Arabidopsis thaliana: one gene and its partner. The protein of the gene in region 1 interacts with the protein of each later gene in a pairwise test. Each region holds a gene or a part of one and is shown on either strand. Other genes may lie near its edges.

Evidence for each region.
Region 2: the proteins of AT4G20930 (region 1) and PYL10 interact in binary tests that used the Arabidopsis thaliana proteins (3 or more experiments, as listed by UniProt).

Annotation. Positions count from the first base shown.
Region 1 is NC_003075.7:11,191,066-11,207,276, reverse strand, and holds AT4G20930 (6-phosphogluconate dehydrogenase family protein), read left to right. Parts: upstream 1-6,170; 5' UTR 6,171-6,240; coding exon 6,241-6,354; intron 6,355-6,665; coding exon 6,666-6,754; intron 6,755-6,860; coding exon 6,861-6,975; intron 6,976-7,161; coding exon 7,162-7,312; intron 7,313-7,441; coding exon 7,442-7,524; intron 7,525-7,655; coding exon 7,656-7,751; intron 7,752-7,882; coding exon 7,883-8,025; intron 8,026-8,127; coding exon 8,128-8,212; intron 8,213-8,319; coding exon 8,320-8,399; intron 8,400-8,562; coding exon 8,563-8,650; 3' UTR 8,651-9,026; downstream 9,027-16,211. Other genes in the region: GHR1 (Leucine-rich receptor-like protein kinase family protein), read right to left, coding at 1,239-1,825, 1,912-3,438, 3,550-4,549; AT4G20920 (double-stranded RNA-binding domain (DsRBD)-containing protein), read left to right, coding at 9,700-9,915, 10,007-10,105, 10,197-10,651, 10,733-10,993, 11,106-12,025, 12,436-12,587, 12,697-12,813, 13,041-13,100.
Region 2 is NC_003075.7:13,893,378-13,909,347, forward strand, and holds PYL10 (PYR1-like 10), read left to right. Parts: upstream 1-7,764; 5' UTR 7,765-7,842; coding exon 7,843-7,965; intron 7,966-8,047; coding exon 8,048-8,266; intron 8,267-8,352; coding exon 8,353-8,562; 3' UTR 8,563-8,623; downstream 8,624-15,970. Other genes in the region: SDG16 (SET domain protein 16), read left to right, coding at 1,317-2,096, 2,182-2,237, 2,309-2,522, 2,636-2,764, 2,862-2,930, 3,025-3,093, 3,179-3,270, 3,362-3,454 and 15 more; MTM1 (manganese tracking factor for mitochondrial SOD2), read left to right, coding at 11,368-11,625, 11,720-11,809, 11,913-12,041, 12,193-12,252, 12,332-12,502, 12,644-12,746, 12,948-13,039, 13,147-13,296 and 2 more. UniProt on the Arabidopsis thaliana protein: Receptor for abscisic acid (ABA) required for ABA-mediated responses such as stomatal closure and germination inhibition.

The DNA of each region.
Region 1 (16,211 bases):
CGCATCGGACGAGTTCGGAACACTCGCTCGTTGTTCATCACGATTAACGACCCTCGTCTCTTCCCTCTCCCCCTCAAAGAACCACTTTCGAATGACTCGAACATCCCAACTTGAACACCAGACGACCACTTTGATCCAGGAGGCTCTTCAGAAATGTGACGGTCACGCAACACTCGAGGCGGCCCCTTTTAACCTTCCTTGTCGTCTCGCTTGACTATCACCGAGACAGCACATCGTCGTGATAGCAGCCTATACTTTGAAAGCCATGCGACGCTTCGATCTCCGAACCTTGAGAAAATTGAAAGACAAACCAAACATTGCGTCTTCCCCATGCGCGACTTTTTACTTCCTTCGATTGAGTTTCGAGCGCCTGAAATCCTGATCCACGTCATCAACGATGCATCAGGATTGGGGGGCAACTGTTAGGGGTCGGATTGGGCCTACTTGGCCCAATGCCCAAACCCAAGTCAAAACCCCAAAATAAGTTCCAAGGTTCAGCTATAAAACGAATAAACTCTATTCTTCCTCGGATATCAAGATCGTTTTCCGGCCTCAAGCTCGTCTTTCATCTACAATCGGCTCGTTCTTTTTCCATTTATGCTTGTTGAAGAAATCATCCTTTGTAATCCGTCCAATTCGCCTAAGTCGCGGGCTCGTCATTAATAGAAAGATTCTTCTTCCTTCCCTAGAGATCCCATTTTCGTACTTGTGTGATTCGTGCATCAACAGTTCCATGTTTTGATTGACGATTTCCATGTTTTGCTTACCGATTTGCATCTATAGATGCTTCTCAAAGACAATCTCGCTAGAATCTCCGTCAATATAGCCTCCGGGAGATGTATTGGTCTTTCCATTCGGACTTTGGGATTAGGGTTTCTAGGATTAGGGTCTGGAGAAAGATCATATATAATACAAAACGTAACATCTAAGTTAAGATTCCTAATTCAAAGACTCGGTTAAGTCTAACCGGAACATGAAACACAATTTAGCAACTTCCAAGAAGAGAGAATATAAATGGGAAAAAATGAAATTTCATTCACTCATGAGACATGAGCAGATTTCGTTTTTTTACAGGGAAAATGTAAAGTAAACTAACAGAAGACACAACACACTAGTACCTTGAATCAAGAACATGTTTCTCCCGAAACAGAACATGAACTTGACAAAGGAGAACACATTCAGAGGAACCAAACTCTATTGGAACCTACAAAACATAAAAAAAAAAAAAAACATTGTTCCTAAATAGAAGAAAGATCTTCGTAAATGGTCTTAATACCAGGTCTCTCAGAAACTGATCTTATACACCTCAAAGCAATCCCAAGAACTTCTTTCATGCCTTTTTCTGTTACCGGATCACTTCCCATCTCCTGAGTCAATACCGAATCAAAGCATTCTGCACCACGCCCTTCTGCAACACGTAACCTAACCCAATCGGTTAGATCAACACCTTCTTGCTCACCTGTGATTACATCTCCTGCACATCTTCCGGTTAGGATCTCAAGAAGTATCACACCAAACGCATATACATCTGATTTGAAAGAAGGTAATGGTTTTCTTGAAGCTGCTAGCTCGGGAGCTCGGTAACCGAGGATTCCTGCGTCTAGAATCTGTTCGACTGTGCCTGCTTGTGTCATGAGACGGTGGAGGCAGTAATCTGCCACACGCGCGTTTAGCTCTGCTCCATCTAAGAGAATGTTTGTTGCCTTGAGGTTACCGTGTGGAACAGCTCTGTCGAAATGGAGGTAGTTTAGACCACGTGCCACATCAACTGCGATTTTCAACCGTTGGGTCCAGGCTAAGGGAGGGCCTTTCCTGCCCGGTCGATCTGTCATCAAACAAGAACCGTAAGCTTGATGAAAAATACTGCACATACATATAATACTTAGAGAAGTTTATTGAAAGGAGCATTACCGTAAAGGAAGCTGGCAAGGCTTCCAGGCGATATATAATCTGAAAGAATAAGCTTCTCGTGTTGCGTTGGACCCCAATAGTACCCTCGGAGAGTCACAACATTAGGATGTCTAATGTTAGAAAATTTCTTCACCTCTTTAGCAAACTCCTTTCTCTGCTTTGCCACTCCTTCTCTTAGCCATTTCACTGTTAGAAACACTCCATTATCCAGCGTTGCCCTGTAAGAAGTGCCGTGGCTACTTCTTCCCAGAACTTCAGCTGGTGCCCTTGATAATTCCTCTGGAGTCAACTTAATTGAATCATCCAGAAAATGCAGCTCTCCCACAAGTCTATCTGGTGACCTCACATCAAGCCGTGCTAGTTGCTGATCAGCTGGGAATGAATCTCCTGAGCCAGGTGACCAAGACAAATTGCTGGTCTTAGAAGGAGAGAAGCCGGTTGCAACAGCTAGTTTTTCATCTGGACTGAGGATTTCGGATGATGAGCCTTTTCTTGAAGCAACCAGATCCTCAGCAGAGACAACCATACCACCTCCGCTGCCTGAGGGGATAGTTTGAGCCCGCCTATTAGTTTCTTTACCAGTAATACTACGTTCTTCGCGCCTTCTTGATTTGCAGATGCAGAAAAGGAGGATAGCCACAAGGATGAGAATAATTAGAGCAACAGCGCAAGAAACTATTATGACAACCTTAACAAGTTTGTTCGTGGATTTATTCTTGGAAGCTTCTGATGCACTTGATCCAGGGGACCCAGCAGGCAAGACGAGCTTGCTGTTTCCAGGATAAAAGGAAGGCGGAGGGAAGTTCTTCAGATTCTCTGGCACAGTCCCTGATAGATCATTATATGACACGTTGAAGGCCATAATGTTGCTAGATAAGTTGCTTGGGAGTGGTCCAGTGAAATGATTCTGGGATACGTCTAATGAGCTTAGAGAGACAATGTCATTCATGGAGCTAGGCAAAGAGCCAGACAAATTATTTGCTGCGAGATTCAGCACTTGAAGATTGGTTAAAGACCCGAATACACCAGGAAGATCCCCGTCAAACCGGTTGTGAGAAAGATCAAGAAGACGGATTCTGGAACCAGAAGAAGGCAGGGGTCCGATGTTACCTGTCATGCCATTGTTTTGAAGGTGGATTTCCTCCAAAGTGGGCATGGATAGTAACGCACCTGGAATTGGCCCTTCTAAGCTGTTAGAACTTATATCAAGTACCCGAAGCTTCGGATAGTGAGTTGGAATCCGTTCTGGAAGTGAGCCTGTGAGCTTATTGTAGGAAAGATTAAGATGATTTGCTCGCAGAAGCTGGGGAGTTGCGTCTGGGAACGACCCAGTGAAATGGTTCTGGCTTAGATCAAGGTACTCTATATTCTCCCATTTTGACCATCTTGTCAGATTTCCTTCAAACTGGTTGTTTGAGAGATCGAGTAAAACACATCCCCCAGTCAAGAGAGGAAGCTCCCCGGTCAGTGAATTTGAAGAAAGATCAAGGGTGTGAAGAGTAGTTGACATGATAGAACTTACTGGCCCTGAAACACAAAAGGAAAACCAATAAAAAAATATTAGATTTCTAGTTTTCTTGGTGCCACCGTTAACATATAACAATTTCCACTATGTAGAAGATAAAGCCAAGAGCATACCTGAGAGATTGTTGCCACTTAAATCCAGCGTTGTTAAAAGCAAAGAGTCACCTTTTAACAAATTATTGGGAAGGGAACCTGAGAATCTGTTGTTGCTAAGCTTGAGAACTTCAAGATCATAGACATAATTGAAACCTGGTAATTCTCCAGATAACATGTTGTAGCTAAGATCCAAGACTTTTAAGTTCTGAAACAACTGAAACCCACTAGTCAATGAACCTTCAAGCTGATTATGGCTGAGATTCAAGTGCTTGATACTCTCAGAAACACCAGGTAACAGTTTCCCAGACGTCGTCACCAATCTGTTTCCACTGATATCGACATAGCTCGCATTCGTTAAAAGGAAAAACTCCCCATCAAGATTACCATCAATTGAATTACCATGCAAATCAAGCACTTCAAGACTTGAAATCAACTCAAAGCCCCTTGGCATTTTCCCCGTGAATCCATTAGAAGACAGATTCAAGTACAGCAGATCGTTCAGCCTTGTCAAGGACTTTGGCAAAGGTCCAGATAAGGAGTTGCTACTCATATCCAACGACTGAAGTGAAATCAAACCACCCATAGACTCTGGAATCTCACCAGAAAAGTTGTTACCAGATAAAGAAAGATTCCTCAAGCTTACTGATCTACCAATCTCTTTAGGCAATGAAGAAGAGAACAGATTATCTGATAAATCCAGGAACTGGAGGCTTTTGAAACTGCCTAAATCATTTGGCAACACACCAGAAAGGGAATTGTTTGACATAGATAGCTTGACAAGCTTTGTCAAGTTGGAGAACAGACTGAAATCAGCATCAGCAGTCAAACCCAAATTATCCAAAACAACACCAGCCACATTACCGCCATTGCAGACAATACCATTCCATGAAGAAGGACAACCATTGAAGTCAATAGACTCATCGTTCCATGAATTAAGGACAAACCCTGTAGGGTCATGTTTGATGCCTTTCTTGAATTCAAGCAATGCCATGATGTCCTGTGATGGAAGTTGCCCCATTGCAGATAGAAAAAACATGGAGAGTAACAAAATCCTAGAAAGATTCATCCTTCCTTGACTTCAAATCTTTTCCCCCAAAAAGCTACAGTTTTTGAAGAATCCCAACAACTTTTCCAGCTCACCAACGCAGAAAATTCATGGAACCCCAAGTAAATCTGACATAAAACATAATGAAATAAGACAAAACCCATCAATGTTACCAAAAAAAAGTTTAAATCTTTCTGCAAAAATCAACAATACCAGAAATTTCACTCTGATAAAAAAAAAAACAGAAGCTAAAGAAAGAAACTTTACCTAAGATGAACAAATCTTCTGAGAAACCCCAATCAAACAAAATGCAGTAATGCTACTGAGTGAGAAGAGACAATCTTCACTCAAAGGGAATCAGCTGAAAAAAACATTAAATGAACAAATGGGCTATTCAATATTTGGGTCCCATTCCGAGATCTAACCTAACTCCAAAGCAAAGAGATAAATGAAAAGTGAGGATTTTTAAACTTACGGGGATGAAAAAAGCTTCTCACTGCAAGAACAATGTCGACAGAGTTGAAGAAGAAGGAAGACAAAAACTTTAAAGCAGAATCATTTTGTTCATTAGCTCATGAACTGCACGGGGTTTTGGATTAAGCTCAACAGTGTTGTAGACTGAGTCACTGAGCTAACTGAGGGAAATCTTTGTGGGTCACTTTAAAAATTAAAAACCCTTAAAAGATTGTCACTGTTTAAGAACAAAAGAAAGAAGCCAAAACAAAATTAAAGATAGAGAAAATGTTTTGCTAGTTTTCACGTTCGACAGTGACGAACGACAAGGACCTTGTAAAAGGGTAAGTCTTGAAGCGTGTGAACGGACACCAAATCAAAAACCCTAAATAAAAAGTAAAATAGCAAGAAATTATTTTCATGGGTTCACGAGAAGAAAATTATATATTAATTTACTTTTTCATAGTCTTTTCAGTGAGGAAAGATTTAAAATATAGTTTAATTACCCGCCTGGAATGGCCCGGGAAAGGAATCCAAAAAAAATGAAAAAAGCTACTTACACTAATGTTTTTAGTGAGTGTGACCATGGTGGACGTGAAAGGGTTTATCCAATATGGTTATGAGTCTATGTCCTTGCCTTTAGTGAGAGAGATTTACAGCATTGGGAAAATAAGCGAAAATTGCGCAGTGTTCTAATAAATTTTGGTAGAAACTTGCAATAAATGAATTTACATAAATAAATAATAGGGAAAATAAAAAGAGTAATGAGAGTTCGGAGTGAATGTTATTTACACCAAAATACAGATATTAAAAGCTTGCAAGGAAAATGTGTAGTAAATGAAACATGATTTTTTGAACAATCCAGAAAAAATAGTAATGAATATTCGGACAAATAAATATTTTTGAAGTTGATACCACATTAATTAGTAGGAAAATGTAGAAGCGAAATAAATACCGCGTAGGAAAATGGGTCCCACATGCTGACTACGTTGACTAGGGAAGACCGGAAGAGACAAGGGCATCAGACCAATTATTTGGGTTCTACTGATAATGTTGAAAGTAAATGTCCGGGTTCAGAATAAATTAATAGTTAAGGGGTCATAATTCAAAAAACAAAAATCTGAGTGTTTTGATGAGATTACACACTTACGTCTAAAACTCACTCTCATTTGCTAATTGTTAACTTGCTCTGAGTTTGAAGAAATTCATCAATGGCGATTCGCAGAGCGCAAACTCTACTTTGTCTTTCTAAATTCAAAACCAATTTCGTGTCTGGGTCGCTCCACCGGTTCTCTTCTTCGTCTCAAAATTCAAATCAATTCCAGGTTCTGCTTTTTAAATTGTCTTCATGATCAGAAAACATAATCTCTTTTCCTCATAAGTCACCTAGAATTTTATTGAAACGTTCTAAAACATGATCCTTAAGGTAGTTGGAATAAAAGATCTTAACTTTTGTAATCTCGAGCATAGTTAATAAGAATTTTAGTGGCCAAATTGCTTATTGATCTTGACCACTTATCTAAATTCATCAGTTCTGCAAAAAAAGTTGTCTGGATTAGATTTTTAACAGCAAAATTTGTCTGATTCAGTACCCAAAATTTATGTAAATGAAGTCTCATTTTTGCTGTTTTGTCAGAATGTTGGTTTCATAGGACTTGGAAATATGGGATTCAGAATGGTGAATAATCTAATTAGAGCTGGATATAAAGTTACCGTTCATGACATGTAATGTACTTTGAGTGCGTTTTGCTGCCTATCAATTTTCATATTTGGTTAATGTTGATTCCTTTGATTAACTTTCTTGTGCATATACTTGTGTTTGAATTTTCAGAAACCGTGATGTTATGAAAATGTTCACTGAAATGGGAGTCTCTTCTAGAGAAACTCCTTATGAAGTTGCACAAGATAGCGAAGTTGTGATTACAATGTTGCCTTCATCATCTCATGTAAGTTATTTACCTTTAGCAATAGTTTTATATGAAAACAGTTTGAAAGATCGTCCTGTTAGCTGTATGATTAGCTGCACCTAGTCTACGAGATAGTATTGTTGTTTACTCCTGGTACTGAAAGAATGTTAATCTTCAATTGATTGGATGATTTTTATGAAGGAAAAAAAATTGTGATTGATGTAGGTGATGGATGTGTACACAGGAACAAATGGGTTGCTTCTTGGAGAAAATGATATAAGACCTGCTTTGTTTATAGATTCATCCACTATTGATCCACAAACAACTCGAAAAATCTCACTTGCTGTTTCTAATTGTAATTTGAAAGAAAAGAGAGGTAAAGCTTAGATAGGATTTGGAAGGAAGTTAGTTTCTTCTTATGAGTTAACAACAGCTTCATTTTGTTCTTCTTGTGAACAAGTCGAGATTGTTTCATTTTCACTAGTTTCAAGCATCTTTGATGTAGATAATTGGGAAAAGCCAGTCATGTTGGATGCTCCCGTCTCTGGAGGTGTTCTTGCTGCAGAAGCTGGTACACTTACTTTCATGGTATGTTGACGACTCTCTTATCTTCTACATTATTTGAATCACATCCTTTATATAACATCAAGTTTGAAGATTATGTGTGCTTGTATACCTACAAGAGCACAATGGCATTGATACAACTGCACGTTCTGTAGGTTGGAGGTCCCGAAGATGCTTACTTAGCCGCTAGACCAATACTTCAGTCAATGGGCAGAACCTCCATCTACTGTGGTGGTTCAGGAAATGGATCTGTAAGTTCGCTTTATACCATGTTTCCGTAACTCTGTTACAGTATCTCTATTATCTTGATCTTTGGTATATTTGTCTCTACAATTCTTAAGGATAATAGACTGAGAAACGACATGTTTTGTTTTAAACTTAGGCCGCAAAGATTTGTAACAATCTGGCAATGGCCGTGAGTATGCTCGGCACTTCAGAAGCCTTAGCTCTTGGTCAGTCACTTGGAATATCTGCCAGTACTTTAACAGAAGTCTTAAACACATCTAGTGGCCGTTGTTGGAGCAGGTAAGTAAATGAAATGACCTCTTCAAATTTATAATCGTCTTCTCATCAAGAGCAAGCACACCAAATTCTTAACTTCCTTTCCTTATATTATGATAACCGCAGTGACGCATACAATCCAGTTCCAGGAGTGATGAAAGGTGTGCCATCTTCAAGGGATTACAATGGCGGTTTCGCCTCCAAACTTATGGTCAGTTTCTTAAGAAATCTCTATATCATTGATCCTGTAAAATGTCTCTAAAGCACATTTCTTTTGTTACACAAGTCTTTCATGTATATAGTGTATTGGAAATGCAGGCTAAAGACCTAAACCTCGCAGCAGCCTCAGCTGAAGAAGTTGGACACAAAAGCCCATTGATATCCAAAGCACAAGAAATGTGAGTACTTCAGTAGTCTTTTCTCCTAGAAGCTCTATTCCTTATGAGTTGTTGTGAACAAAGAAGGCTTGTGAATGAAACTTTATGGAAACAACGTAGAAATTTCTTATGAAGCAAAAAGCACACACATCAAGCTGAAGATTTTGTTTTTTTGTTTTTGCAGTTACAAGAAGATGTGCGAGGAAGGACATGAAACGAAGGACTTCTCTTGTGTTTTCAGACACTTTTACAATGGGAAAGATGAGGTCTGAGACAATCTTAACAACGACCCTGCAAAATAACCGGTTTCTTTGTGCATTTAGATTGTTGATTTTCATTGCTAAGAATAATAAAAGTCTTGGAAAGGCTGTGATGTTAATAAGCGATGTGAATTGTAATTAGTTTGAGAACATCTCTCTGGTGTTGAACATTACTCTTGGAATCACCAATCAATTAGTTATGAGGTCAGCGAAGAATAAAGCATGAAGGATCCTATAGAGAGGATTAAACAAAGCTCAGAGTCAAAGTTCTAAACTTTTCTTTTACCCGGAAAAAAGTCAACAACAATTCAAACAATAGTCACCTATGGTGTAATTACATTTCTTAACAGTGTTACTCGCTAACCAATCCGTAAATATACCATTTTCCTTATCTATATTCGTATTTAATTTGATTATTAATCATTCTTGGCTATTTACCTAAAGTTAATGAAGATTCACCTTCGTCACCAATGAGAGAACCAAACCATTTTTGCAGAATCTCCGGTACAATTACGGAAACAGTTGTTTGTGTTAATATCTACAATGTGAAATGACTACAACCACCCTCGCTTTCTTCAGCACACCGCTACATTTGAAATCTCCCAACTTTTTTCATTCTCTCTGTTGCTCAAACTAGTTTCCCTCAACACTCAAAGGTACGTCTTTGATCCTTCTTCTTGTGTTTCGCTTCGTTACTTATGGGTTCTTTCTGAAATTCGACTTCATCACACCATCATTTCTGTTTATGACAATTCGTTCCTCGTAATGTTACTTCAACCTCTACCTGTTTTTCTGCTTCATTCGCGCGAAAAATCGTTGCTTTTGACTCATGTTCCTCTGTTTCATCTTACTGTTGTCTGTCTTAAAACCTGAAGTCTCCGAATTTAGGTCATCATCTTGTATCTCTTTCAAAAACCCTAGTTTTTTGGGGTTCTGTGCAGTGAGCAGCCGTACAGTTTGCACTGAAGTTACCATCTTTCATGATCTTTGAAGTATCTATATGAATCATAGATAGTTCTTTTGTTTGTCTCAGTGTAGAAAGAAGCCTCAGTGAGTTTGTAATGGCGGGTGAGGAGAAGCAGACTCTTACTCCAAAGGAGATGATACTTCAGAAGTTTGGTGTTAAAGCAATTTACAGAATTGAGGAAGTTCATGTTTCTTCGAATGATTGCCTCTATCGTTGCCACTTGCAGCTACCAGAATTTTCTGTTGTATCAAATGTCTTCAAGAGAAAAAAGGATTCCGAACAATCTGCTGCTGAATTGGCTCTCGAGAAGGTATACTTTTGACACATCTCTCTGCTCTTATTGTTTAGTAGACTTCTTAACACTGTTTATGTGAAAAAGTACAATACTATTCATGTTGCAGCTAGGAATTCAGTCTCAGGATGATGATGATGTTGATATAACTGTGGATGAAGCTTGGAATAATATCGTTGAACGCATTAAGTATATATTTTCTGATGAGGTTAGTACAGGTCATAAGCAAGTCCATAGTCCAAAAGTTAATTTGGTTTTTCTCTCTATTGGCATTAACGTTTAAGTTGTTGCCATTGCAGTTTCTTTCAGTTGATCATCCTCTAGGAGGTCACCTAAGGGCGGCATTGCAAAGGGATGGCGAACGTTGCGGATCACTTCCTGTTTCTGTCATTGCTACATTTGATGCAAAGATTAACAGTCGCTGTAAAGTGATTGATCCTTCTGTAGAATCAGATCCTATCTTGCTCATGTCCTATGTCATGAAGGCTGCTGCAAAGTTGCCGGACTACATTGTTGTATCTCCGCATGTCGATTCACTCCGAAGGAAAAAACCGTATCCTCCAGCAACTATTAAAGCACTGGCTACTACTCATGTGAAAAGCATAAAAGCTGAGGCTGTGCATTTACAATGTACCGTTGGCGGTGAAGAGGTTGTTAAGCCAGTCACTCTTGATATTTCATCAGGTCGGTATTACTTGGATATTATTGCTGACAAGCTTGGATTGAAGGATGGCAGCCAAGTGATGATATCAAGGTGAGTATTTTGTCTTCTCTGTCAATAAATGGAGCTTTCTCAGTTTTAATCTTACTAAAGCTAATTTTGGATTTTCATCAGGACTATTGGCAAAACTTCCTCTGGCTATGAGTGTAGAGTATATGCTGCCATTCCTAAGTTGAAGTCTTCCGATAATTCATGGAAAGCCCGTGAAAAACGTCCAATCATTGAATCATCACATCTTGAAAAGTCTCGGAATGCAAAAGCAAGTTTTGTTTGTGGTGTAGATATTCACGGTGATGCGATCGTGGCATCTGTTGGTTACCCATGGAGGTCCCATGATCTTGAACATGATGGTGTAACCTTAAAGTCGTTTTACAAGTCTCTTACCTCTACCAACTTTTGCTCCGTTTTATGTTTTGTTTTTCCTTTGTATATCTTTTGGTCTAGTGCTGAAGCACTAAATATCTCACCAGTTTTTTGGCCTCTGTAGGATATGTTGCGGTATTTCTCCTAATGGAATCTATAAATTATCCCGAGAAGCGATAATAGCGGCGCAGTTACCTTTTTCATTCACTACAAAGTCTACTTGGAGAGGTCCATTCCCCAGGGAGATTCTCTGCATGTTCTGCCGCCAGCAACAACTGGTAGAGCCCATTTTTACTATATCTACTGCTCCTGTGAAACCAATGTCTTGCATATTAAGATCCTACCAGAAGTTGAAAGACTCAGAATGTGATGAGAAAGATTCAGAATGTGATGAGAAAGACTCAGAATGTGATGATAGCGAATATCAGTATACGAGCAAGGGAAAAGAGGAGATACCAGAATCAGGGACTGGATATAGATGTGAAGTGAAAATTCTCTCAAAGTCCCAGGATTTGGTTTTAGATTGCTCGTCCAGAAAGTTCTATGAGAAGGAAAACCATGCTATTCAAAATGCTTCGTTGAATGCCCTCTCATGGTTAAGTAGGCTTTTCGACGAGGGGGATGGGGACCCACTGCAAATATGTTATACGGATGATCACCTGGATGCGGTATTTCAACAGAGGATCTTGATGAAAGAGGCTGTTCCAAAGGGACATTTCCGAAATAGAGACGAAATGAATCAATATGAGGATCAAGTTCGTATTCAAACCATAACAAAGGGTTCCTTGGTTAGCATATGCTATTCTGTGTATTTGGATGTAGATGCTGATTTTTCAAAGGATGGTAAATCTAAAAAAGAACTCATCGAAAGCAATGAAGAGATAGAGTTTGAGGTGGGGAATGGTTCTATGAATCCACATCTTGAAGCAGTTGTTACTCAACTGGTTGTGGGCCAATATGCTCGTTTTTTAACTAATGCGCCTGCTGAAGACTTGTTTGTGACTGCTGCCACTGGTACCCAGAGAGATCGTTCACTTTTATCAGGTAATGCTTCTAATTTGTATATGAAATTCTTAACATTTGTGGTTAGAAAAGGAAAAAACTCGATGACATTTGTTTATTACAAATGCAACCGGCTAGCCTTTACCAGCGGACTTAGGACTAAAATTCACTATCTAGTTGAATCTAGAATTTAGTTACTTTGTTGCAAACTCTTCTGTTGCAATTGGTCCTATGAGTTTAATGAGTTCTGTACTATTTTGGTGAAGGCAGCATCACTCTTAAAATTTATTTGTTGTTTTGGTTCTTATGAAGTGTTTCTGTGCTTTTTCAAAGGTTTTCTGCTTTGAACAGCGCATGAACAAGTAACAAACATATACCTCTGACTAATATAAGAGATTTGCAGCCAAGCTACGGTAGTTCTGATGATGAGTTGCTTTGGTTTTAATGCACAGATGTCGCAGGTTTTGAATACTGTGTACGTTTGTTGGGAGTGAAAGGGCCAACAGAAAAACGAATTGAGGCGGATTTTTTCAAACCTTCACTTTCAAAACAGCGTCTTGAATATGTAGTGAAACATATTAAAGAATCGTCAGCTTCTACTCTGGTAGGCTCTTTGTGTTTCTTAATTAATCATTTTGTCTTTCTGCTTATTGTGATTCCAAGTTCTTTCTGGGAATTTTTTGTTAATACTTCAGCCTCTATACTTGTTGCAGGTTGATTTTGGATGTGGATCTGGAAGTTTACTAGCATCTATACTTGACTGTCCAACTTCACTTCAAACCATTGCTGGCGTTGACATCTCACATAAGAGTCTTACCCGTGCTGCTAAGGTATGTGAAATCTGACACCACTTTGTTATATTCCACTTGTAGACTTAACCTGATGAGAGTCATGCATCTTAAAAACTTGATATATGTTTGATCAAAACTGCATTTACACAAGTCATAGGTCGTGTAACATGTTTCTCCAACGTGGTTGTATTTTATTATCATTGGAAAGAGATGGTTGATTGAAGATTGTTGGTTTACATTGATATTTTTGCATGTTATAATTTCAGATTGCTACATTCAAAAATAAACAAGGGAGCTTGCAACCTCAAATCTACTTTACTCCATGATGGTTCCATCCTTGAGTTTGATTCCAGGCTGCATGACATTGACATCGGCACTTGCTTAGAGGTTCGATTCTATTTTCTTGCTTCATTTCTTCATCAGCAGCTTCTCTAATATTCAATATAATCCGTTTTGAATCTTTAGGTCATTGAACACATGGAGGAGGATCAAGCCAGTCAATTCGGGAAAACAGTTCTAAGCTTGTTTCGCCCGAAACTTCTGATTGTCTCCACACCAAACATCGAGTACAACACAAATTTCCATAAGTCTGGTCCTCCAAACCACCCAAAAAACAGATCCATGTCTTCACAGCTACCAAAATTCAGGAACCAAGACCACAAGTTTGAATGGACAAGGAAACAGTTTAAGCAGTGGGCATCTAAACTCGCTAAACGCCACAACTACAGCGTCTATTTTAGCGGTGTTGGTGGGTCTGGTAAAGGAGACCCCGGGTTTGCTTCTCAAATTGTTGTTTTTAGACGGATATCTTTGTCCAACATAGTGGAGAAGGTCTCAGAAGGCTCGATGCAGCCTTATAAAATCATATGGAAATGGTCAAAGAGGAAATGGAGAGAAAAAGACTAATCTTTGATAAGTTATTACTTGTCCTAGTTCTACTATATTATTTGGAAAGTACATTTTAAATGTAACCTTAATTTTTGTAATTAATTACATGACAATGCCATTAGAAAAATTTAATCAAAAACAAAAATCTTTAATGACGTCATTAAGATTACCAAAATCATTTAACAACAATATTCATCTCTTAATTATAAGGTTTATTGGATCTAAAGACGGGTCATCAAAGATTTCCTAAACTGAAGCAAAATACACTAAATATTCAAATATCTATCTGTTACCAAATTATAAACAAATAAGTTCGTAAAACAATTTAATATTTTATATACGAAATCAATTAAATCTTAATCACATAAAAATTAGCACAAAAAAAGTATTCAACAATTAAACAATTATCAAATCTCTGTGTTATATAAGTTTTGATACTATATTCGAATAAAGTGTAATATATCTTTTCAATTTGTATTCTTTAACTAATTTAAGCTACCTAATATATTTGCTAATCTTATACCTATCAAAACCGACTATCGTTTCTTATCTCTACAGTATTTTTGCAAGACTTTTTTAGTGGATTTGGATAAAAGTGCATTCGGGTCATATGGTACATTCTCCTATTAAATAAATATGGTGCACTCCTATGTTATTAGCTAAAATATTCAGATTATAATTCAGAGTCATATCATAAATAAAATTAATATTAATAAAATAAATGGCTTTTTGGCAAGACGGATTTGGAGAGACGGGTTTTTGAATCAACATTAATAAAAAAATAAAATATAATTAATCCACTGTTTGAATACGGGTTAAATCTTTAATTTATTATTTTTTAAGACCACTAATATTAAACATATCAAATCATCCTAATTTAGAAAAGATTATATAAAACCAAAAATGTTATGTGGTATGTATAATGTTACTATATATAAAATTAAACTATAAAATATAAATGTGTTAGAGAATGATACAATTTGCAAAACTTTTATATATAATAAATAATTCTTAAATTTTAAAAATTATTACTTTAAAAAAATATTACGGGACGGGTAAAGGAATTACAGAACGGGTTTTATTTTGGAATTGGGTTATATGGTGGATGTATTTGAATCAATATTTATAAAATTTTAAAATATTATTAATATGCTGTTTTACAAGGGGTTAAACTTCAGTTTTTTAACAATTGTCTCATGGATTCGTGGTATAGCGTTACTTAATAACAATTATAAACTGTAAAATATAAATATTTTATAAAAATAAAATTTGCAAGTTTTAATAGATATTACTTTAAAAAAATAAATCATCCCGCGGTATACCGCGGGTTAAAATCTAGTTCTGTTTAAAATCTCCATGTTTCTTCCTTAATCACACTTTTACTTTTGGTCATATGATATGACTCATATTTTAGTGTTATGCATTCATTACATGACATGGTTTTCTTCAAATTTTGGCTACAAAGCACAAGAAATGTGAGAATACCAAACATTAAGGTTATGATTCGTAACATTGCATAATAGCATAACGGTATAAGTTGCATAATAAAATATGTAGAATGAAAAACCGTAGAATCAAATTACTTAAAAATATATGTTGATTGGATACATTTTACAGAACGACAAATAAAATATTATATCAACAATATATATTTATACTAATAAAACTGTTTTTAATAAATTTTAAGTAATATTTGATAATAAAAATATAAGATTCTTAAAATCTATTAAAGAGTTGTGAAAATGCTGATTAGAGATTTTGAAATGAAGTAAGTAAAGATATGGTTAGTTATTTGGTTGTTCGGATTTTTAGGGAATATTATTTCGTGTAATATTGAATTAGTAGAGATTCAAGGGATTAATGTGTGCAATTTATGAGGGTAGTGCAAAATAATATTTTTGTTTAGGTAAGTAATTAGTGCAAAACGTGAATAATTGATCAAAAATTTGGTCATTGTCATAAAGAAGACAATCTTGTCTGATTGATTTTGTAGGGACTAAACATACAATATCGAAATTGAAAAATGATTTTTCGACACAAATCTTCCCCAAAAATGTATATGTAGATTATTAATAACATAATTTTTGTGTAAATAATTATAGTTTTTTATTGTTTAAAATTGTTAGTATTTAAGATGCGTAAAATAATAACAATTTCTTATGCGAATAAAAACTATATACCCATTTTTTGCATAATGAATTTTTACTTGTAAATTTAAACAAAAATACAAATTGTGCGTTTTTACGTTTTCTTATACAATTATGCAAATTTTCTTAATATGAGAATTTTTTTACATAATTACATTAAAAAACGCCTTACCAATCAGAGCCTTAAACCTATAATAACTTCACACGTAAATGGTATTTATTTTCTTCTAGAAAAAGAGAATGGTGGATAGGGGAATAAAATAAAAAGTTGGAAAAAGAAACGATTCTACAACATGTAATGACCAAAACACCCTCCTTCCTCCCTCTAAAACCCCATTCTCTCTCTCCCACTCTCTTTTTCTCTGTTGCTCTCTCCTGAGTTCTTCTTACATGAAAGTCCGC
Region 2 (15,970 bases), 2.7 Mb from region 1:
TTGCGAGTATGTTTTGGACTTTTGGGAGCCCTAACCTTAAATTACCATTTCCAATGAGAAAAGCTTAAACCTTGTTTAAGTAAATCCAACGGAACTAGTAATGTTTACTGATAAATAAATCAACCCAGAGACAAACCCCTAACGAACGTGATTGGTGGTCTGTCTCCTTGTTAAATTTTTTGTTTGTAGTTGAGAAAATCACAGAGCTTCTCGGTTAGTTCTAAACCGGAAAACCCCAGAAAGAAATTGTATTATTACGTAAATACCCTTAGAAGAATTGTGAAAAAATTGGTGGGAAACTTTTCAATAATATTTTTGTTTCCATCTTGTAGCTGCCTCTTTCCATCACCGGTGCATATAGAAACAGAGAAACAAATATTTAAAATTTTACATCTACAAAGAGACGACAACTCTCCTGTGTAACAATGTAAGAAGAGCGTTTTCATGGGTTGTTGTTATTTCTTCTAATGTTGTAGTGACTAGTTGTTGTAATCATAACGAAAAACAAACGTAAGAAGTACACTGCCGTAGCCGTACCATGTAAGTTCCATTACAAGCTTCCATAGATTTTCAAACCTCATTAACAAAACATGTATCTGAATTTTCATATCAAATTAAGAAGAGAAACAATTAAATTACAAGAAGAGACACACGATCTTTGAATTGGTTCCGAGAAGAGAAAGAAAACGAGGAAGAAGAAGAAAAAGCGTGTGATGCGCAGGTTAGCTTAATCACAGTAATGTGCACATTCACGCTATTCAGAAGGTGACGCCGATCCAAACGACCCACTTCTTCTGCGTCTTCTCTCTCTTCACCTCTCTGTCTCGCCTTTCTCTCTCTAAAAGAAAAAAATTTCTTACCCAGAACAAATAAAATTTGCCGAAATTTTCAGTCTTTCGATTTAAAACAATTCCTTGACAACATTTCTTCCGGTTTTATCATCCAAATCATAAGAAAGGACGCATTTTTATTTATAAAAATTGGGTCTTTTTTAATCTCTTCTGGAATTTTAAGAGAGAGAGATATAGAGCGAGAGAAGTTAGGAACAGATCTCTTTCTCTTTCTCTTTCACTTTCTCTTTCGCTCATTCGTGCCAAAAGTCTCTTCTTCCATCAAATTTTGTAGCTTTCCTTGTTTGATAGAACGGGTACGCGATTTTCAGTTCTGGGTCAGAGGAATACGGAGGACTTCTCCTCTCCGGAGCATCAGAAATTGAGGTCTAGATTAGGGTTTGTGAGAAAATTCGAGATTTTGGTTGTTGATTCTTAATTGGAACAGTGATGCTCTGAGATTGCTTTTCTGAAATTTGAAGAAGAATGATTATCAAACGGAAATTTAAAACCCAGATACCGAGTTTGGAACGGTGCAAACTCGGTAATGAGTCAAGGAAGAAGAAGAGAAAGTTGAACTTGGGAGGAGGTGGTTACTACTATCCTCTCAATCTTCTCGGAGAAATCGCCGCCGGGATTGTTCCAGGTAATGGACGCAATGGATTCTCTGCTTCCTGGTGCACTGAAGTTACAAAACCTGTTGAGGTGGAAGAGTCATTGTCTAAGAGAAGATCTGATTCCGGTACTGTTAGAGATTCTCCTCCGGCGGAAGTCTCACGTCCACCGCTTGTTCGGACATCTAGGGGAAGAATTCAGGTGCTTCCTTCTCGATTCAATGATTCGGTGCTTGATAATTGGAGGAAGGATAGTAAAAGTGATTGTGATTTGGAGGAAGAAGAAATAGAATGCAGGAATGAGAAAGTTGTTAGTTTTCGGGTTCCTAAAGCTACTAATTTGAAAAGCAAGGAACTTGATAGGAAGAGTAAGTATAGTGCATTGTGTAAAGAAGAAAGGTTTCACGAGCAACATAATGATGAGGCTCGTGCTCGTGTTGATGAGAAGCTTCCGAATAAAAAGGGTACTTTTGGGCCAGAGAACTTCTATTCAGGTGACTTGGTTTGGGCAAAGTCTGGGAGAAATGAGCCGTTTTGGCCGGCTATTGTTATCGATCCAATGACACAAGCACCCGAGCTTGTTTTGCGTTCTTGTATACCCGATGCAGCCTGTGTTGTGTTCTTTGGTCACTCTGGGAACGAGAATGAAAGGGTACGAAGAGACTAATGGCTTTCCAAATATGGAATCTGGCCTTCTTTTAAGTATTCTATTTCTGACTGTTGTTTAATGTAAGCAGGACTATGCATGGGTGAGGAGAGGGATGATCTTCCCTTTTGTGGACTATGTTGCCAGGTGGGTCTCTTTATATAATCAAAAGAAAAGGTCTTAAATGTGGATTAGTGCTTAATTAGCTACTTATTCAGGTTCCAGGAACAGCCTGAACTGCAAGGGTGCAAGCCTGGGAATTTTCAGATGGCATTGGAGGAAGCATTTTTGGCAGATCAGGGATTCACGGAGAAGTTGATGCATGATATTCACTTGGCTGCTGGGAACTCGACTTTTGACGATTCTTTCTACAGATGGATTCAAGAAACTGCGGTCTCAAATCAGGAGCTCAATAACAATGCTCCAAGACAGGCAAGTGTCTCTATGATTTTGGTCCATTTTTATATGACTTTTTTTTCTTATATCTTTTTATGTAAATCTCCTCCAATTTGGGTAATATATCTAATTAACATTATGCTTTGTAGGGGCTGTTAAAGAAACACAGAAATCCACTAGCATGTGCAGGATGTGAAACAGTCATTTCTTTTGAGATGGCAAAAAAAATGAAAGATCTGATTCCTGGAGATCAATTGTTGTGTAAACCATGTTCAAGGGTATGTAGGATCCCTTGTTCTGTGATTATTCTTAGTTTAGTTTGAAGTGATGCAGAAACGGTTGCATACGTGTAAGCCTATTTTGTTGTTGTTGCAGTTAACAAAATCAAAACACATTTGTGGTATATGCAAGAAGATAAGGAATCATTTGGACAATAAAAGCTGGGTACGAAAGTAAAAACATTAGGTTCTATAGTGGTATAGCTTAAGGTTTTGGTTGTTTTCTATTTTGACTTTTTGATATCCGTGTGGCATATTAGGTGCGCTGTGATGGTTGTAAAGTCCGGATACACGCAGAATGTGACCAAATATCAGATAGGCATTTGAAGGTATGTTAATTTTGGATTTCATCAAGGTTACCCTATTATCATCGGCTTGTGTGTGTTGAGATCGAGCTCATTTTATGATCTGAAGGATTTGCGGGAAACAGATTACTACTGTCCTACTTGCAGAGCAAAATTTAACTTTGACCTATCAGATTCAGAAAAACAAAACTCAAAGTCAAAGTAGGCCTCTTCGTCTTAACTTTTATTATTGTTTTCTCAACGGCTTCCTTTTGATTGCCAAATGTCTAAATTTGGGAGTTTTCTGGTACAGAGTTGCGAAAGGCGATGGTCAGATGGTTCTTCCTGACAAGGTTATTGTTGTATGCGCTGGAGTAGAAGGAGTTTATTTCCCGAGGCTCCATTTGTAAGCAGATACCAATTTACATTTCCCCAACTTCTCGCGCTGGGTTTTCTTCTAAAACTAATTCAAAGCAAGATGATATTGAGATTTACCTTACCTAGATTTTCATGTTTCTTTGCTGAAAACTTTCCAGAGTCTTCTTACTCCATCTTGTTATTTACAGAGTGGTATGTAAATGTGGCTCCTGTGGACCTAAAAAGAAAGCCCTTAGCGAATGGGAAAGGCATACCGGATCAAAGTCAAAAAATTGGAAGACCAGTGTGAAAGTCAAAAGCTCGAAGCTGGCACTAGAAGATTGGGTTTGTACAATTACTCTTCTGGTTTCTTTCAGAGATATTGGCGTCTTTCTTTTGAGTTTGATCTGACTTACTCAAAAGGAAACTGACATATATACCTGCCCTACCATTCACTTACTCTGCAGATGATGAACTTAGCAGAGTTACATGCAAATGCTACTGCAGCTAAAGTTCCTAAACGACCTTCCATAAAGCAGAGAAAGCAGAGATTGCTTGCTTTTCTATCAGGTAGAAAAGGAAATGGAATCCTGTAACATGTTGCAGTGTTTTGAGTGTTTTTGTGATGCTTTTGTTGGCTTTTCCTTTCGTTGTTGGCAGAGACATATGAGCCGGTCAATGCGAAGTGGACAACAGAACGATGTGCAGTTTGCAGATGGGTTGAAGATTGGGACTACAACAAGATTATTATCTGCAACAGGTGCTTTTTAATCTTTTTTTGCTCTAGTTTTTTTTCTTAAAACCATGATTTCATCTACCTAAATAATGGGACTTGCCGTTAGACTTATATTTTTGTGCCCAATCTTTGGCTCACGTGGAGTGTGTAAGATAGGGTTTTCTTGCTAGTTTATGTGGATAAGATATTTGAGCCAGAGAGCTTTCCATTTTAACTATCATGTCATGTCCTTTGGCAAACAGAAGATAGTTGTTTTCTGTGGATCACTTTATGGCGACTTGTGAAGTATCATCCATTATCATTGTTTCATAAGCAACTTAGATAAATGTTTCTTTCATTTTCTTGTCAGATGCCAAATAGCAGTGCATCAGGAATGCTATGGCGCTAGACATGTTCGTGATTTCACCTCATGGGTCTGTAAAGCATGCGAGAGACCAGATATCAAGCGGGAGTGTTGCCTCTGCCCTGTAAAAGGTGGCTTTATAAAGTATATTCAGCTTTTTCACATAAACATATGGCACCACTGCCTATTAACTATATCCATTGGCTCCGCTATGTTGTCACTGATGATAGGAGGTGCATTGAAGCCAACTGATGTGGAAACGTTGTGGGTTCATGTGACATGTGCTTGGTTTCAGCCTGAAGTATGTTTTGCAAGTGAGGAAAAAATGGAACCTGCAGTTGGGATTTTGAGTATTCCATCAACTAATTTTGTGAAGGTAAATTTAATATTAACTTATTGTCTTTAATTTTGGACCTTTCCATAACTGTCTGCGACCAAAGCTAAATTGCATGAAATCTTCTTCGTTTTGATGGATTTCAGATATGTGTAATATGCAAACAAATACATGGCTCGTGTACTCAGTGTTGCAAGTGTTCTACATACTATCATGCCATGTGTGCCTCCCGAGCTGGTTATAGAATGGAGGTATGCTTACTGTTTGACTGTTTCTGATCTTTCTTCATGAGATCAGACGACACTGACTTTTTCTATACATGCTTTTGAACTAACTGGAACGATCTTTTTTATATAGTCGTATAAAGTGAAACTGGTTTCCGATAGATAATGTGTTTTTAATCTTTACTTAAAGGAACTTGAGTTTTTTTTTTCCTTTGCAATTTATTATCTTACTCCATTTAAATAGGCATATTTCCATGCATTTTGTATGTAGTTGCACTGCTTGGAGAAAAATGGTCAGCAGATAACAAAGATGGTGTCCTATTGTGCTTATCACAGGTGAAATTTCTCAGAACTCTGCTTAAAGAATTTTTGGTGTTACGATGTTGGTTTATGATTTATAAGTTTTATCTATTGTTTTTGGTGTGTAGGGCTCCCAACCCAGATAACGTGTTAATTATACAAACTCCTTCAGGAGCCTTCTCTGCAAAGAGTCTTGTCCAAAACAAGAAGAAAGGTGGTTCCAGGCTTATTTCATTAATCAGAGAAGACGATGAAGCACCTGCAGAGAATACCATTACATGTGATCCATTTTCTGCTGCTCGTTGTCGAGTATTTAAAAGAAAGATCAATAGCAAGAAGGTAATATTGGGTCTTATCCACAAAAAGTCTGTATGTTTCGTTGCACATCTCCTTTGTCCAGTAGGCTGATCTTTGTTTTGTAGAGGATTGAAGAAGAAGCCATTCCTCACCACACAAGGGGACCACGCCATCATGCATCAGCAGCAATCCAAACTTTAAACACATTCAGAGTAAGAAAGTCTCCATGCAGTTCTTCTACTCCGTTTCTTACTATTATTTTTTGGATCTGACATTTCTGGGTTGTATTATGTGTAGCATGTGCCAGAAGAACCCAAATCGTTTTCTTCTTTCAGGGAACGACTTCACCACTTGCAGGCAAGAATTCTCTGATGTTTGAACGAGATTGGAATGTTCAGGTTTTATTTTTTGATATTATCGGCTGTAACATGTGTATGTTTAATGTAACAGAGGACAGAAATGGATCGGGTCTGCTTTGGGCGATCTGGAATTCATGGATGGGGTCTTTTTGCAAGAAGAAATATCCAAGAAGGAGAAATGGTATGTCAGCAGACCCATTTGTGATATTGTGTTTGGTCTATTTGGGATGAGGGGAGTGTTTATTGTCGAGAGGTGCTATTGTATTTCAGGTTCTTGAATACAGAGGGGAACAGGTGAGAGGTAGCATTGCAGACTTGAGAGAAGCACGTTATCGCAGAGTAGGAAAGGATTGCTATGTGAGTTGAAAAAGTTTCCATTTTATCTTCACAAATTGTCTCTTCTCTCTCTATCTCTCTTAACCAAAAGAAGGATTTATGTTGCAGCTTTTCAAGATCAGTGAAGAAGTAGTGGTTGATGCTACAGATAAAGGGAATATAGCTCGGCTCATCAATCATTCGGTAAGCTGCTTGGCATGGACTTTTTACGTACAAGAAATTTGACAGACTGTTAAAGCCTAAATCAAAATACGTGGTGTGTAGTGTACACCAAACTGCTATGCGAGGATTATGAGTGTAGGAGATGAGGAAAGCAGGATTGTCCTGATAGCCAAGGCCAATGTAGCTGTGGGAGAGGAGTTAACGTACACAACGCATTTCTATATATACCATTCTTCAATCTAAAGCTGATTGATTGTCATAGTTTAAGAAATGTTGTGTGGTGTTTTGGCAGGTATGATTACTTATTTGATCCAGACGAGGCAGAGGAACTCAAGGTGCCATGCTTATGTAAAGCCCCTAACTGCAGGAAATTCATGAATTAGAATAGAAAGGTATAGATCCTCTAAGTTTACTTCACAGGCTACAACACCAAGAAGAAAAGGCCAAAGCAAGATTGTCTCTTTTTGCTCCAAAAACAATAGATTTATAGGTAGAGAGAAAAGCTAAGTGATCCAAGTCTGATCTCTTCTGCCTCTCTGTATAGACAAACTCGTTTGTGTCACCATTATCCTCAAAAGAATTCAATTTCATTCATTTTGTTCATTTCAACGAGACTTGAGCAGAAAACTTGGGATAATTCCAACTGTTGTGACCGTTTTACCCTATAACCATCGGTTTACTACGGTTATACCGCGAAGGTGATGAGTCAATTCAATTGGGAATTGATTTTCCTTTCGCGCCGGTTTATGAATCGTGCTTTCGTCAAGTGCCATGTCAGACGAATTGTAGTTTGCTGCTGATAAAAGATCTCGTAATGGTTTTCTTAAAACACTTTTAAGCGTTTTTGACGGCCCAATTGATGCGAATATGGATTGACTCTTATCTATACTTCAGATATGTTCAAAGCCACACAAGGTAAATTGCATAACGGATAACAATTCCCATAAGAAAAAATGTTTCGGTGTCAAACTGTATATGAGCAATTCTGAAACATTCTAAAGATTTTGTGGTTATGTGTTAAACTTAAAGCATTTGATAGAGAGATATTTTTCAAAGAAATAGGAAAAAATAATGTTACAATCCTCCACATTAATGTTTACAATCCGTCCATCTGTACTTGACATGTCGGATCATAATCCAAGATAATGGGAATACAGATATAAGTTAAAAATGAATTCACTCATAGAAACTTGGAAGGCTATATTCGTCAATATAAAAGAGCATCCTTTAAATAGCTGCACACTGGTACAGTGGTTCTACTATTGAGTGAAAAAAAAAAAAAACTAAAGGCACGAATAATTTTTGTCTAATCAAAATTATTTAAATTGCTGCTATTTAAGATAACGATGAACGGTGACGAAACAAAGAAGGTGGAGAGCGAGTACATCAAGAAACACCATAGACACGAGCTTGTAGAGTCTCAATGTAGCTCTACGCTCGTTAAGCACATCAAAGCTCCTCTGCATCTCGTAAGCTTTGCTTTGCTCTGTTTTTCAAGTGTTAAAGATAACGATTTTTGAGATGTTAAATGATTTGTTTTGTTTGGAAAAGGTGTGGTCAATTGTGAGGAGATTCGATGAACCACAAAAATACAAACCATTTATCAGTAGGTGTGTGGTACAAGGTAAGAAGCTGGAGGTTGGTAGCGTAAGAGAAGTGGATTTGAAATCTGGATTACCAGCTACTAAAAGCACTGAGGTATTAGAGATTCTTGACGACAATGAGCATATTCTCGGCATCAGAATAGTTGGTGGTGATCATAGACTCAAGGTAAATTGAAATTTCCTTAAATGTACCATTCATTCCGACAAGATTATTGTTTTTTTTAGAGCTTAATTTGTTATTTGTCCAATCAGAATTATTCTTCAACCATTTCGTTACATTCGGAGACGATAGACGGAAAAACAGGGACATTGGCTATAGAATCGTTCGTGGTGGATGTGCCGGAAGGTAACACAAAGGAGGAGACATGCTTCTTCGTGGAGGCTTTGATTCAATGCAATCTCAATTCTTTAGCAGATGTTACCGAGCGTCTACAAGCAGAATCTATGGAGAAGAAGATATGAGATGTGACTTGAGAATCTTTTCATTCGGAAAAGAAGGAAAAAGACCAAAGAAGAGAAATAACTCTTCCCTTTTATAGCAATGTCTATGTTTTTTCTTCTTCTATTTCCATTTTCTGAATGTTTGTATATTATTGGAAGTTTGTAACGAAATGATTTCGAATAGCTGTCAAACGAGAAATATAAATTCAAATTTGTAAGTGTTTATATGAAATGCTTTTTTATTTTTAACATTTCCACATGAAAATATAAATAACATATCATGACACATGCAAAATCATATTTATGAAAGTTTTTTCAACTCTCTCCATTTTTTCGACATATCAGCATTAGATAGAGTGACACTTATCACATCAACATATGAATTACATTTCTTATTTAATTTAATGTATTTAAGAATTTATAATCATGCATTAATTCTTTCTAAATTTTTTGACATGTTTGAACTTATTAATTAAATAATTTCAATTTAATTAGGTACAAAGTATATCAAACTCACATAAATAACTTATTTAAATTAAATTATATAAATCGTATAAACTTATGTATAAACATAAAATTAATAGAATTTTAATGAACTTTTAGATTTGATTAAAGTATAAAAATTAAATAATATGATATAAGAATTTATTTCATGTTTTCATATACTAATATATATATATATATATATATATATAAAAGATTAATAACAATTGATATTAGTTAAATTTACGGTTTAGTTTAAGGTAAACCCAAGATGCTCTCATCTGGAATTCTGTTATGATCTGTACGTCCTCAAAGTTCCAGAGATGTTGAGAAAGATCAAACATCAGCAGCGTCAGAGGCTTTTTCTCTGGAGAGGTGATGTTGAATGGCTCTATGCGCTGCTCGGAGAGCAAAAGAGTCTTGAAGAAGACTCTAGCAAATCCATATTGGCATCTAAGCTTGATCTTTGTGTTCCTGTTATGAAACACAGAATCTAGACTGAGACTGAAGTTGGATACCTCAGCTTTGGGATGGAGAATACCGGAACTCTTGGCCGGAGTAAGAGGATGGAAAGCATGCTGAAGATGAGCAAGAGCGTTCCAAGAAAGACTATGACGAAGAAAACAAATCAGAAATATACTAAGTATGAGTTGTTTCAAAGAACGTAGTAATGGTTTATAATAATATTAACAATAGAATAAAATAAATAGTAATGGTTTAAGAAAATATTAATAATAGTGAGCAAAAGCTAAGCAAAATATAAGCAAAACATAATAACATAGTCAAAATAATATGGAAATGACAAGTATATAAATTATATGTTAAAAGTTAAGAAATTGACTTGGAGGTTTGTGTTGGGATTTTCCCTTAACTTAAATAAAGGTTTTAAATGTGAACAAAAAAAGTTTGAAGTTTTAGTTGGGAAAATGTTTTGATTTGGAGGTTTGTTTTGGAATTTTTTCACTTACCTAAAAAGATTTTGGTTATTATTAACATAAAATTCTACTAATAACAATTGATATGCTTCTTCGTGTTAAAAACAAAAAAAAAACAATTGATATGCTTCTTCTTTTTTTGTGCACCCAATAAATATGAATTAAATAAGCATTTTTAATAGATTTATCTCTTGATAGGGTATCCATCTAAACAAATACAAAAAAGAATACATTTAACCAAAATGCTTATCTAATGTATATTTAAATGTAAAACTTTATTGTATTTGTTAATTTAGCAAAAGATAAAATGTCTAATTGCTAAATCATATTTACAAAATATAATATCTGTTAATTAAATCATGATTCAGTTGTTTGGGCTGTTAATTTTGTTTTAATCCGTCTTTGGGCTTGACCCTTCTGTATTTGCCTATTGGGCTTTATGAATGTTATGAATGAAAATGAATAGTCACAAAACAAAAGAAAAAAAACAGAATTTGAGTCGGTACACAACTGTTAACGAGGTGTACTTGGTGGAATCATAGACACGTGTCTTGACACTCTTAAGGCCTCTTCACCACCAAATTACTTCCCTAACAAAAGAATTATTATTATTGTGAAGCCCCAAAAGATCGAACATTCTAATTCAATGGCCTACTTGCTGACCAAGCAAAAAGGACCGGCTCCGTTTTCACCTAATTCCGAGCTTCACAACGTGCCTTCCATTGGTTGAATATTCAACTGGTTTAACCAAACCGAAGTTACACATACGATTTGAGTCGGTACACAAATATTACGAGACGTACTTTGTGGACAGTTTGACACGTGTATCGCCACTCTTTATCCCTCTTCACCAGTCACCACTCACCACCAACTTAAAAATAAAATAAAAAGAGCATATATTGTGGAGCCCCTTACATGATCGAAAATTCTCGTTCAAAAGCATTCGTTAAGACCGTGTGTTGTGTGTCGTTTTTTGTCGACGAAAATTAGACCGGCTCTGTTTTTATTGGCTCGTTTCGATTGAAAGCGTGGCTATAATTGGTTTAACCAAACCGAAGTCGACGTCTCGGTTTGTTCGGTTAAGATTAAGCCTTGTAGAACATTCCAAAACGCCGCGTCAAAGCTTTTAGGGTTTGATTCTGCTGTGTGGCTACCCACTCAAGTCTCCAGTGTTCCTTTGTGGCTCTGGTTTGCCCTATTCTTCTCTTCCCCCTCTCTCTCTCTCTCTCTCTCTTGTTTTCTTTTTCCCTCTTCTCCAAGGAATCTGGAAAAAATTAAACCTTTTTTCTAAATCCCTGGAAATCAGAAAACTTCCTATTGAGAAACCATAGATTCGATCCAAGCCTTTGATTGTATCAAAATCTCTGCTTCACCAAGAATTTGGGTTGATACAGAAGAAAAAAGTTAAATGGTTGAGGCAGAGCGCGCGGAGAATAGTTGGATTGCTTCGGAAACGTCTCCGTCGTCGTCTCCGGTGGTAATAGAAAGCAGTGATTTTTCGATAACTGATGGAATGAGAGATGTGAGCGGATTTGGTATAGCTTCTCGACCTCAGTTGGACAAGGGTTTGTCGGAAAACAATATAGGGTTCACGGAAAGAGTTTTCTCTGCCGCCGGAGCTGCGGTTTTGTCCGCCGTTACTCTAAATCCTCTTGACGTTGTCAAGGTAGGAGCTTTCTATTGTTGTCTTGATTCATCTGGGAAATTATATCTTCTTACCGGCGAAGATCTAATGTTTCTGTTGTGATTTTGTTTATCAGACTCGATTGCAAGCTCAAGCCGCCGGAATGTCGTACTCTCACCCACTCAGTAACTCCATTGGACGCATGGCATTTTTTGGCCCAAACATGGTATTGTCTCTGAAATTTTTATTTTGTATGAGTGTTGTTTTAAAGGTGAATACTTTCTACATTTTCACTACTCAGTTATGTAATCAATACGGTTTCGGTTCAGATGTTTGCAGACTTGAGATGTTCTCCTTCATGTGCACGCGCTGGTGTTGAAGGTACTGTTTCTATTTGCCCACCGGATTGTTTCCAGTACAAAGGAACATTTGATGTCTTCACCAAGATCATACGACAGGTGAGCATCTCTTTTCATCTTGTTGAATGTCTCGCAGTGTTAAGAAGATGATGATAAGTAGTTGTTTGAGAGGTTTTGTTTTTTGTATGTGGCATGCTTTTTAGCTAGAAGCTTACTATTTCTCTATATCCTAACGCAAGAACTGATGCAGGAGGGTCTGGGACGCCTTTGGAGAGGGACTAATGCTGGTCTTGCCCTAGCTGTGCCCATGGTATGCTCTTTTGCTTACATTTACGGGATTCTTTTGTTTGGATAGACTATGGATTAGTAAACTCTCAAGTTTTGCACAGGTTGGGATATATCTCCCATTCTATGATATGTTCCGCAACCGGTTGGAAGAATTATCTCGGGAGAAAGCTCCTGCTATGACATTTTGTGTGCCTACTGTGGCAGGGTCTTTAGCGCGGTCCTTAGCTTGTACAGTCTGCTATCCTATTGATCTTGCAAGAACGCGTATGCAGGTATTGGCTTGTACTTCTTCTGCGTGTGGTATTCTTGTAACTCTAGATGAGTGTTATGCTTTTCAACGAGATCTTTCTTTATGGGTAGTACTCTTTCTGTGACTCGCTATTCATATTGTATTTACTGTTTTCTCTAAGTAGGCATTCAAAGAAGCAAAAGCCGGTGTGAAGCCTCCGGGAGTTTTTAAAACTCTAGTTGGTGTTTTCTCTGAAGTCAGGACAGCAAATAACCTTGAAAGTAGCTGTAAGTTGCTTCTTCCTTCTTCTCAAGCAACAGAAGTGACTATTAATATCCCGAATTTGTAACTCTCCAACGCATGTATAATCAAGTAGAGCATACCACTTAATTAGCAATCACAACCCAAGATGCATGCGTGTGGACATTGACACCAAGAGCCAAGGTTTTCTTTTATTTAGTCTTTGATATACATCTTTCTTGGGACAGTGCACAACTATCGTGGTCTCTGGAGAGGCTTGGGTGCACAGCTTGCCCGTGATGTTCCATTCTCAGCAATCTGCTGGTCGACCCTCGAGCCAGTAAGATCTTTAACATGTTTAAGCGTTTTACGATGCAGAAGGTTTATTTTAAGGCAGTTTTGCCAAATACAGTAAGTGAATTGCTTTGACCTTCCCTTATGATACAGATAAAAAAGAGGCTCCTTGGAGTTGCGGGCAATGATACAAATCTTGTTGGTGTTTTCGGTGCAACCTTTTCTGCTGGATTTATAGCTGGAAGTATCGCTGCTGCTGCTACTTGTCCTCTTGACGTTGCAAGAACAAGAAGACAGATAGAGGTTTGTTTGCTTTCCTCCAGAAACATGTTTGTTTACTTGTGTCACCATCTCATGTTTCTCCCTTCCATTAATTCAGAAGGACCCTGGTAGGGCATTGATGATGACGACACGACAGACACTAATAGAGGTTTGGAGGTATGTATATGCATATTTGAAAGATTCCATTTTTCATTTGTTAAAAGCTCTATGTTTGTTTTGAAACAAAACATAACAAGAAATACTTGCACACACAGGGATGGAGGGATGAGAGGACTGTTCATGGGAATGGGTCCACGAGTGGCACGTGCAGGACCATCGGTAGGGATAGTGGTTTCCTTCTACGAAGTGGTCAAGTATGTTCTGCATCGCCATGCTTCATCATGACCCTGCAAAGTCACTAATCTCCTAAACATGGATCTGTGGATACGGCTTTAGGTTGTAGCTTCTTTTTTCAAGTTAACAGAATAAGTTAAACAGGCTCAATGCTCCAGAAACCCGAGTTTCCTCTGTTTATGAGCCTTAATTTTGTCCAGTTATTAAATACCGGCTGTTTTTAATGTTTAATCCGGTTTATGTCGGCCCGATCGTACTTCAACATAGGTTGTCTTCTCAACTTAGATTCTTATCATCAAAAAGTATCCATGAGAGCCTTCTCAAATATGAAAAGCAAAACGCACTATTACGATTTCCTTAATTGTAACCTGAGGAGGCGACGATGTGTAAAACGCCATTCATATTGTCCCGCTTTAGTGATGAATTATAAGTCTTCGTTTGTCGAAAATTAACGAATGTTTTTCCACGTAAAAATTGTTGACGATGGCATTGACTTTTCTCCGACACTGACCTATTTTGTATTTTCTAATAGATTTCTTCGACCTTTCTATTATTAGTCCTTTCAGATATCAACCGACAAACACTTAATAAAGAAAAGGTTTTGTCAACGTTAAAATAGGAGACTTCTAATACCTTTGATGCATAAAACTAGAACATGATTAAAGAGTTAGAACATAGTTGAGACAAAAAGAAGTAGGAAAAAAAATAGTAACACATCTCAAACAGTAACAACATTTTAACTAATTAATAATGATGTTCTAATTTTAAAATTTTGGCAGCGACCTACAATGCTGCAAACCACTGAGGATTCGATAAATATTTACGCACTACCATAGTGAAGACATTTCTGAATTTGATTTTTTTTTATATTGTCATCTGACAACAATTACTATGTTGGATAAGAGCAAGGAAAAAATATGTAATCTTGCATCTAAAGTTTGTATAACCAAACAAAACACTAAGCTTTAGTATTTCAAACCTTTTTATGCCACTTTGTAAATGAATATTACTTTCTCAGAATTGAGAAACACCTCCAATGTAATTATCTGTTATAGTTTACAAAGAAAAGTTATTATAGAGTCCTCTTGCATACATGTCTACGAAAGGTAAAATTCTTTTTCTATATATACTTCAGTACTCAATAATTTTCAAAATGACTATGGTTTCATTAATCATAACCTTGAAGAAGTCTTTTAGTCCACATTTTCTCCAGAAGAAAGGGACTTGTAGATGTCTATTTTAACAATTTCTTATTGTGTGTACACATAAATCATATATTTAAAACCAAATATATATATATATATGGATTTGACTCCAATATGATTTCAATGAAACCAATCGGGCAAATAGACGGTAGAAGACGAAATCCAGACGACCAATGAAAACGTTAAGCTTTCTGTTTGTTTGTGTATATATTAACTATTTGGTAAAAAAGAAAAACATAAACAAACCACAAATGTGGTCACCAACAAATATGTGTGTATGAATTCAAAACATCGTAATTATAATGGTACAAGTCAACATGTGGAGAGGCGCTTATTTCTTACACTAGTGCAACATTTCGTACTCATTCAACTCCTTACCTAGTAAGTTGTATTATAATTCTCTCATATGAGTTGGGACATAATTATTTCTACCTTTTGCTTCTCCCTTCTGATGTTCGGCATTGGTTATGCTTTTTTTTTTTGGTGGGAGGCATTTGTTATGATTTGGTTGTTAGGAATGTACATTAAAAAAAAAATCTATTGGATTTAATATCTTAAGCACATGAATAATTTATTTACCGTAAACCTTTCTCCTATTTAAATATTTTGATACTATCTCTAAATTGATCCAGCCCTGTACTTATTATTTATATATACACTTTCATCGAAAATTAATCTTCAAGAACGCGGGAAAATATTTTAGCAGTTATGAAAATATTGAAGTTCAGAACACTATCTTTTAAGATTTAAACAAAATTCAATTGTTGAATGAAACCGAAATTTTGAAGTTACGGGCAAATATTTCGTATCTATAAATGGAAGCTATTCTAGTTGGGAGTTCATTGCATTTGAACATTATTCTACATTCACTTAAGGAAATATTACCCTTTTTTGTCTATAAGAAAAAAAGTTATAAGGAAAACCAGAAAGTGACGAATTATTCAAATTGTAATTGATTGAGAATCAGTGTCAACATTAATTTTAAGAAAAATCAAATCTAGTAACAATATATTTTAGTCAAAGTTTAATTCTTAGAAATTTCATATCTGAAAAGGATAGTTTCCAAATTCCAAATTAGTAGTATTATTTACCGCCAGAGTCAGAACACAAAACCCACTTTTGTTTAATAGAGAAAGGCAAAAAGTGCACCGACTGAC